2 linked regions of the Schizosaccharomyces pombe genome follow. The gene in region 1 interacts genetically with each later gene. Each region holds a gene or a part of one and is shown on either strand. Other genes may lie near its edges. The genes, in order: git11 and gpa2.

What was found.
Region 2: of git11 (region 1) and gpa2, extra expression of one rescues a mutant of the other (dosage rescue), as found in Schizosaccharomyces pombe (2 studies listed by BioGRID).

Annotation. Positions count from the first base shown.
Region 1 is NC_003423.3:4,028,612-4,032,392, forward strand, and holds git11 (heterotrimeric G protein gamma subunit Git11), read left to right. Parts: upstream 1-1,885; 5' UTR 1,886-1,943; coding exon 1,944-1,999; intron 2,000-2,088; coding exon 2,089-2,251; 3' UTR 2,252-2,961; downstream 2,962-3,781. Other genes in the region: COP9/signalosome complex subunit Csn1, read right to left, coding at 1-479, 554-828, 888-948. UniProt on the Schizosaccharomyces pombe protein: Gamma subunit of the heterotrimeric guanine nucleotide-binding protein (G protein) involved in glucose-induced cAMP signaling.
Region 2 is NC_003424.3:2,515,393-2,521,173, forward strand, and holds gpa2 (heterotrimeric G protein alpha-2 subunit Gpa2), read right to left. Parts: upstream 3,848-5,781; 5' UTR 2,924-3,847; coding exon 2,803-2,923; intron 2,640-2,802; exon of another isoform or gene 2,398-2,639; coding exon 1,454-2,397; 3' UTR 661-1,453; downstream 1-660. Other genes in the region: SPOM_SPAC23H3.12C (hydrogen/potassium transport protein), read right to left, coding at 1-481. UniProt on the Schizosaccharomyces pombe protein: Alpha subunit of the heterotrimeric guanine nucleotide-binding protein (G protein) involved in glucose-induced cAMP signaling.

The sequences.
Region 1 (3,781 bases):
CATTTCGCTTGCAAACAACGTCTCAGGGAAGGGTCTAAATCTGACAAAGCATTGAACTCTTCATTTCTTTCAAGCTCTTGAATCAGACGTTTATGATCCCAGCACGCTAGTGCACAAAGTGAGATATACACTGAAATGTCAGTTTTTGTAATAATACCATCAGAGGTATCAGTTTCAACTTTTAAAAAATGAGCCAGGGCCTCTTCGTAATCACCCAAGCAAAAGTTGGCCAATCCACAGTATGCATAAATAGGACTAGTTAGCTCCATGGCTGCACTAACAGTAGACTTGGCGCGAGACCCGAAGGCTAGTACATGAGAATAATTACCAATCCAAATAGAAATTCTCATTAACTCTAAGGATAAATGAGCAATTTGTCCAGCATTTGTACAATATTCGCGAACTTTGGCATATGATCTTAAAGCACTATCAAACTGGCCCACATCAGCAAAAAAAGAAGCTAAATCTAGTTGTGCCGCCTAAAGTTGTTAGAATTGTAACAAAGGATGTAATAAAAAGTCTGTGAAGCAAAAAGTTATCTTGTAGCTCATACTCTTATAGATTCTCGTATTAAGTTGTTTTTATAGGCTTTTAGTTCCCTTCTTAATTGTTCTAGATTTTGTTTCCTATGAAAAGTAACGCTTTCAACCCATTCTACGTCCAGCTGCTCGTTTTCGAAGCAATCTTGAAACTCCTCGAATAGAGACTGGTACAACTCTAGATTATATGTCTTTTCTTTCAATTCTTTAATGGCATAATGAACACAAAAACTTCTTAACGGCTTAGAATTACGGGCGACAAACAGCGCGCGAAATATTTTGGACCATACTATGAAACTGTGAATAAAAGAATGACTTGCAAAAATGCATCAATTGAAAAACTCTTACCACCATATTCATCCAGATATCTCTTTAATTCTTCCTGATTGACTAGTAGATTTAAGCTCATAATAGAAAACTCGTAACTAGTCGGAACACTGTAGGTTATAGAATTGGCCAACTGGTTATAGGCCAGTGACGAGTACCAGATGTATAAAAGCTATAATAAGATGGTGATTTTTTCAAGTCGAAGATGTATGTAGTTAATTAGTTCTACTTTACGGAAACGAGAAAAACATATCATATTGATTTTATTTCTTTCCCCAAATTTCCAAGCAAAATCGCATCTAAAGTTAGGATATGAGTTTACTATTAATATGAGATACCAAGATTAGAACCCCATGTATTCAATAATAAAAATAAAAAATATGAAAATTGTTGCAAATATCTTTTAACTATTCCCTTGAAACAATGCTCAACTCTAATTAAAGCATTTCCTAATTGAGATTTAAAAAATAAACGAACAAATCTATAGCCAAAGAATTGTTGAAGTCTAAATAAAAAATAATAAATTTTCTTTTAAAAAAAAAGGAAACTTAAGGTGGTTGAATTTACTAATCTACTTCGAGTTATAGGAAGTTTGGTTATGTAACTTCTTTACTTAGAAAATAAGACAACGATAGTAAAGAAATTTACGAGCAGAATTCATAATTTCGTTTTAAAAATCCAATCAACATAAAGTATCTACTTTGTCCTCCCAATGACAAAATCTTTGTATCTGTCACAAGTTTATTGTTTATATGTTTTCGCATTAACAATTATTTTGTTAAGAGAAGTGTAATATATGCGTATTCTACTTGGAAAGAACAAACTAAAGAGATAAAAAAATCCTGAAAGTGAAAGGCATTTGAGTAGTGTCAAATTTACAATTGGAAAACTGCTATTCTATTTTTTTTCCTCTTTTTATATTAGGGAATATAAGGTTAAACAACATAATCAAATAACGATACTTAGTGCGCTTAGAAGCACACCTACATATATGTATGATGAAATGGTCAGGCAAGGCTATAATTTTACTTAACAGGCATTACTTATTGAAATTGTAGTTGATCGGTCCTTAAACAAATGGAAACAGAGGCTTTATTGAATGAAAAAATATCGGTTCAACAAGCAAGACAGGAGTAAGTGTTTTTACAGCAAATTTCATGACGTGAAACAAAAAATGCTTGATTTGATCTCAAAGTTTGAAAAGTTGCTAACTGAACTTTAGATTTGCTAATTATGCAAATAATATACCGGAACCAATGATGGTATCGGTTGCTCCGCCTAAAGCAAATCCGTCAGTCAGTTCGAAGACAAAGCAGCAGCAGCATTTTAAGCCTGGTAAAGCGACGAAGGATAAGGCCACTACCAAATGCTGTACTATTTCCTAATGTTTTGTGGAACGTTGTTTAAGCATCTTACGTGCACTTCCTACCGTCTGTGCTCACCTAGTAATTAACATGAAAGGAGCATTTATTGTCTATTCCTATACCAATCATTAGGATGAGTGATTTATCAGATTGGTAAATTTGTTATTTATACTCTTTATTTTATTTCGTACTATTTCGATTTTACCATAATTATTCTTTTGGACCTTAGTTATCGGAATGGCAATTCGTCAAATAACCGACACAGTGGACCATTTTCTCCTAACTTAATAATTTTCTAATACTGATTCAATCGTTATTTATTCATATAAAATACAATTTTTTGACGAGACTTTCTCATTATCTGAATTTGTTATTCTTTGTTTTCTTCAAAGCAAACAAAACAGCGCTCAGGATAAAAGGTTATGTTCGGGGGATTGTTAACTATTCTATTTTTTTTTGGTTTATTTATATATTTAAAAATTCTAATCTCTTATAACACTTGAAGCTAATAGGATTTATATTTCCTTACTAGCAAATGAATGTAAACTAACTACAGGAAATTCATATGGCCGACTATAGTTGTTTACCTACCCATTTGGTTAATTTTTCCTTAAATATATTTTTTTTTTTTTTTTTTTTTTTTTAGTTTTGGCTTGAATTTTAGTTTACATCAATTCAATAAACATATTCATATCGCAAACCAACAGGTGTGATTAATTCCTAAGGGTCGACAAATAGGCGTTATATGTTTTCTATTTTATTTTTTTTATATGAAAGGAGGAATTTTTAGTATGGACATTTACTTGTTTGTATACTAAACTATTCAAATCTTCAATAATAAAAAGAGCTTATATAATTAGTTGTATATATAAAATTACCTGTGTTACCAGGTAAGCAAGAAGGTCGGGTAGCATAGTTGGTTATTGCGCACGACTGTTAATCGTGAGGTCGAGGGTTCGAGTCCCTCCCTGACCGTATTTTTTTGCATCATGAGCATCTTATACAAAGGATAGACAAACGCACATGGAGTAGTATGTAAAAGCTAAAGTTCGAATTTTGTTGTTGTTTTTGAAATCCATGTCATCATTTTACGGGCGGTTGAATCGCTTTAGGTGTTTACATCGAATTTTGTCAGTGTGCATATGCGTTGTAAATTTGTCAGAAGGTTGTATGATCCGCATACACATTTAATGGATCAATTACAAAGCCGACGAAAAATCAGGGACATTTGTTGTACCTCTTATCAAAAGCGGTAATTTCAAAACACATTATCACTGGAAGGTCCTAAAAAACCAGACGAATCGACAATGCCATAATTTGCGTAGGGTCCGGTATTTGGGATTGAGAGACTTGTCAAACTTTCGGAATTCCGATGTTTTCTTGCTCGTACGTTAAGGAAATGTTGTTGTACTCTATGTGTGTATAGAAAAGTAAATAATAGTTTAACTACAATAATGGGATGGAATCATATTATCATGTATTCTTAGGAAGTTTAGCGCACTAGCCTGTTAGGTAGTGTATTCGAGCCTAGTAGAGGCGGAGTGCCCTATA
Region 2 (5,781 bases), on another chromosome or scaffold:
GAATAGCACGAAAATTGCAGTATGCTCTATAACAAAGATAAAAACCCGGAATATTTGGTATTAGAGGTATGAGAATGAAAGGTATAGTCAATGGTAATCCAATAATATTACCAATAAGGTAATTTGTATGGGTCTTTTGTAATTGTTTGGACCGATTCAACTCAGCTAAAATAGTACTTGATTCCAAATTTGGAGGATGTTCAATATACAAAGTTTGGTGTAATTCTGTATCATTTAGCTTCTTAACAGGAGCAATCGCCCTTAAAAAATTTTCTTCATAAGGAGTTGCATGCAAAATTCGGTTTCCCAAAGACACAACCTTTTGTTTGGTATAGCTTTTTGAAGCACTCCAGGAGTCCCAATACTTGTAAATTCTGTTTATAATTTTGTCGTGAATAGTAACTTTTTTGGCAAGGTATTCAGAAGGATAACAATGTAAGAATACCCTTTGATTTGGCAAAGGAAGTGCAATAATTCTCATAATTAGTTAACGAATGTACTTAATTGTTTTTACAAAATAAATATTGAAATAAATAAACCTGCAGTAACACAAAGATGGGTGGATATACTAAAGTAGAAGCTAAAAGTGGGTAACGAATATCTATGTAGTAGTATTACTATCTAATTTAATCAAATTGATACGTATACAGAACAGTGCGGCTTTTTATTATACATGGCAGAAATACACGTGTTCAATAGCTTTTTTGATTAGTAAATTAATATATTAAAGAAAAGATACTGAAAGTCGGTAAAAAGTATCAGTCTCTGGTGCCAACAAAGAGAGACAACAATTTTGATGATTCAGTGAAATAGTCTATACAAGTAGTCTAACAATTAAAAACTAAATACTAAAACAAAAGCGATTAAATCATGTATCCACTCAAAGTCTCTTAGTACTCAAACGGATTTTCTACGACCCTCATAAATAGCAGCATTAAGTGATAGCAATAGTTCTGAAAGCAGAGATAGATGTTCGAATCAAAACTGGAGATCTACTTTCTCAATCTTAAGACTATGTTCAACAGAAAGTATTCAATAACTTTAAAAGCATTCGCCAGCAGCATCGTTTAAAGTAAAAAATTAAATGCAAATTGATATTCGCAAAAATGACAAAATATTTATATCAACTAGAACTGTATAACTTGGTCATCTTAAAGAGATTATTTAATAGCAATCTGTGAACGTTCTGAGACAACTGAAAAGGAGATCGATCCTTTTCCTTACAGACAAATCGGTGATTTCAGATTCCAGCAGCCAATGTATATATTGGAAAAATATTTTTAAAGAACATGTGTAATAAACTCCGGACAATATTAAAAAAAAAAAATAAACGAATGTAAAAGAAGCGATTCTTACAAGGAGGCTTCAGAACTCTCTAGACATATGCAGACAGTAAGAGGTCTTCTGTTAACATATGAATAATGGTAGGGTAAATTTTATCTTCAAATTAAAATTAAAACATTCCCGCTTCTTTCAGACTGTGTTGTAGAATTGTTTCCTTAACGGCAGAAAAGACAACCTTTATGTTAGATGTGTCTACAGCGGTGGTAATGTGAGGATATATATTATGCTTAGCCCGATTTATAGAAGGGTTCACAAATAACCAAAGAATATACCGGGTAATACTTTTAACAGAATTTTTACCTTCATATTGGGGGAAGTAATCCTGGAACGGAACATGTTCCAGTTTCTTCCGAAACAAATCAAATTTGTTCAAAAACAGAATGATAGAAGAATGCATAAACCACTGACTGTTTATAATAGAGTCGAATAAAGAAATACTTTCAACCAAACGATTGCGTTCTGGGGCGGCTCTTTCATAAAGCTTTTTATCATAATCATTTAAGGAAACACAAAATATGATTGAATTCACATTTTCAAAACAATAAATCCATTTCCTTCGTTCGGTTCTTTGACCACCAACGTCGAACATTCGAATTTGCAAATGATCCAATGTGAACGATATTTCCGAAATACCCAGAGTACTATTTCTAGACCGGAGAATGTCATCTATTGTAGGGACATAATGCCGACTGCAAATTTCATCGGCTCGCGAAAAAAAGTAAGGGGCAGAGTCAATGAGTACGGAATCATTTCCATATGTACAGGATCTAACACTATTGGCTGACCAAAGACTAGTAATAGCTTGGCCAATATTAGCATTAATAAGCTCACCAGGAGTTGGATTAAATTTTTCGATTATCTCGCAATTGTGGGTTCCTAAAGGGTCCAAGTTGATACCTTTTTGAACGATAATTTTAACAAGGGTTTTAGCAGATTCCAACAGGTTTCGTCGGATCACCGGAATAAATGTCATAATCTCTTCTTGACTAAACCCATTTTTGTTGAGAATTTTGATTTGCTTACTGATGGTACTTTTTCCACTATCGGAGGCACCTAGAAAACAATGGTTAGACTGACGATTGTAAGAAACAAAGGAAGGAAAATTTGCTATAGGAATCAAACAAAAAATCTGTGCTATGCAATGGAGAGAAACGGTAAGAGTGTAGAGCAACTGATTACAACATGCAACGACGACGAAAAGTGGTTAACTAGAAGAACGTTATCAAAGTCACCTTCACTGACTGAGTATTGAAGGGAAAGGGTAACCAAGAGTAGAGAACGTAGACGCAATTAGACAAACCATTTTCTGTCATTTCTTAAACAGTTTCTCTGTTTCGTAAATAGTTTCACTCATTTCGTTTCTTTATTTTTTTTCTCAATCTTTTCTGCTTTTTTGCTCGACTGCCCAAGCATATATAACTATTGAACAACAACAACAACATTGAGTAGTTTACGTACCTAAAAGCAACACTTTGTAAATCTTTTTATCCTTCTTCGAGGCATTTTCAATCTGCTTTTCGATTTTGCTGTTCAATTTTTTTGATTCACCGCTTTCAGATAATCCATTAAAAATCGTCATTTTTTTTTAATCCACTACTGCAGAATATAAATACGGGGATGTAGTAGGACACCAAACTTCTCAATCCGACAGCTAGCGGGTTTTTGGGATAAGATGGGAGAAATAAATATGAAACAAAGTAAGAAGGTTAAACGCAGGTAGGTAAGGTGTAGCAGCAGAGAGGCGAGGACTTTCCAAGAAAAGCCTTCAATCCAGTTCTTTTCCCAATTAAAGCAAAGATTAAATAATAAAATGGAAAGAGAGCAAGTTAGAAAGAAAAGTGAAACGCAAATAAATAAAAGTATTAAAAAAAAAGTTGAGGTAGCAAGTATGATTAAGTAGGAACAAGGGTGCGGGTGTCAAAAGGGGATATTACAGAATAGGAATCAATAATCAAAATATTGATTAGTCAGTCACTAAACTATACGCGCAAAGTTTGATTAACCCCCTTTATGGGCGACCTTTAAATCGCAATTTCAACTTTTTTTTGAGTTTCACCAGATGCCTCGAAAAGCAGGGGGTGGAGGAGAATGAGGAAGGATCGCAGGTCGGAAGCTAGCCGGCTAGCTAATTGACACAGTGAGTACGAGTGAATACCAAGGTTGATTAAGGCAAGAAGAAAAGGCTGAAATCAGTTGAAGAGATGCAGCGACAAATGAGAAACTCGTGAAAATTGATTTCTCGTCGTCTTTCGATGAACGAGAAAAAAATTAAGAATTGTACAAGGAAGAAAGAAGAATTAGAGGCAAAATATCTCAATTCTTACTACTGTCCAACTAACCGAGTGTACAATTAAATCCTTACTTTCAATTCACACTACCCTAAATCCAACAAGCAGCAGCAAAAGGGCAAGCGTTTTGATGCTTCAAACAGCTTAAGTAGCTAACAACTATGGTTAGATTGGTACCTGAGCGGTGATTTCGTCTATACTATTTCGAAAAAGACAGACGGCAACTCTGGTATAATTTGTATTTATGAGGCACTACGTCATGCATCATCCATTTACGATTTTAATTTTTCGAGTGGGGTAGAGAGGACAGTTCGGAAAATGTAACATTGGAAAAGGATCCAACACATACCACCAAACAAGCATCATTCAAGTAAAGAAGATTGGAGTGTAAGTCTTACTCTTCGATTATGACCTTGGGCGAGGGGAGCAGGCAGTAAGCTGAGACCTGTGTGAGCTTTGCATTCTATGTAAGTATCGCATAGAGAAGCGCCGCTCATCAAAATAGTTTTTTATGTTTTATGTTTATATGTCATTAACTGGTTGGTCCAGCATTTCTATACTACTAAACTATACTGCTCTATTACTACTCTAGTAACTCAATGAGTCGTCCCTTGTTTATGGCTGAAGATGCAAGCAATCGGGATAGCAAAGATGACCAAAGGAAGTGTTCCAAAAAACGCGCAATCTTTCCAAGCAATGTTTAATGAGTGTTTTCCCAATCTGAGTTTGTTCACTTTCATAATATTTTAAATTTTCAAGCCCCAATTTTACCAAGTTCAATTCCAGTTACGGAGACTTATTTACTCAGATATGAAAGTAAAGTGCACAAGGGATAAGGCAACTAACTTGATCGCAAAGCGTGGGCAGCTATCACAAAGCTAGAAAGAAACATATAAAAAATCCATAGACGATTGGGTACCAAGATGAAGCAAAGCATGTTTTCGCAACTGACCAGTTTTACCTGACAGTCGGAAAATTTTTCAGCTGTATAAAAAAAAGAAGACATGGGGACTTGCAAACAATCTAGAAAAAAGGGATTTTTGCGTATCTAGAACAAATGTTAAACATGAAATGGGGTCTTGAAACTGAATACAGCGAACTAGACATGCTTTTCGCCCCTCCCCCGCTTGGTCCATGAAAACATTACTAAGTATACCCTGCTACCATAACTCCTCTCCTATTTCTCATTGCTCGATAAATAGCACAAAGCAGCTTGACACTACAAACTACATTTCAACGCAAAAAAAATAAGGAGGACTTTGTTAAACTGCTCATCGTTCCTAATTTCATTCGGTTCCTTAAATTTAATGGGTAAGAATGGTAAGATATCCTGATGCCGTTACTTGCTGGTTACTTAGTCTTGGAGGTTCGGGAAGGACTGCATTTGCCCCGCTAAAATAAAATAATCTTCAGGTGAGATAGAATTAGCTAGGTTTCGTAATGTTTATGTGGTACTGAAGTCAATCCGTTGTTGTTCGTTCATTTATTCATTACATACTAATAAAAGCATGTACTAGTTATAAAAAAAAGTCTTCCAAGATATTCACATGTAGTGGGAGGGTTTTTATATTGTTTTGTTTTTTGATGGTTTTTTTTTTTTTATAAAGATGAAATTCTTATTTGCGTAAGTTTAATTTTTGCTTGATTATAGGTATCCTTGACAATTATTGAATATGTATCTTATATCTCTTATATATGTGTATCTTATATATCTTGCATATCTTGATATATCCCGATATATTGTGGAAACTAGTTTGCCGGATCTGTTTCATGTTGGTTTTAGGGCAATAATTTGAATTATGAGCAAGATGCGCTTCCCAGTTTAAAATAAAACTATGTTAATTTAATTCAAAAAATTATTATAAGAAAATAATTGAATAAATCAATCATTAGCTAAGTCAATATTAGAAGACAACGGAAAAAATATAGAGTAATCTTGTTTTTTCCTAATTTTTTTCTTTTGCCAGTTGGTTGAGAATATGTCCAATATCTATATTTACAGTGTGCAAAAAAGTGGATCATGAACAACCGACTTTCTGATTTTCTAATCTATTGTGAAAACGATGAAAGAAACTGTTTTTCCAGCTACTGTTCTTTCGCTGTGGCTTTTATTTCTTTTCAAGAGTTTTAGCTTTCTTATTTTTTGTTG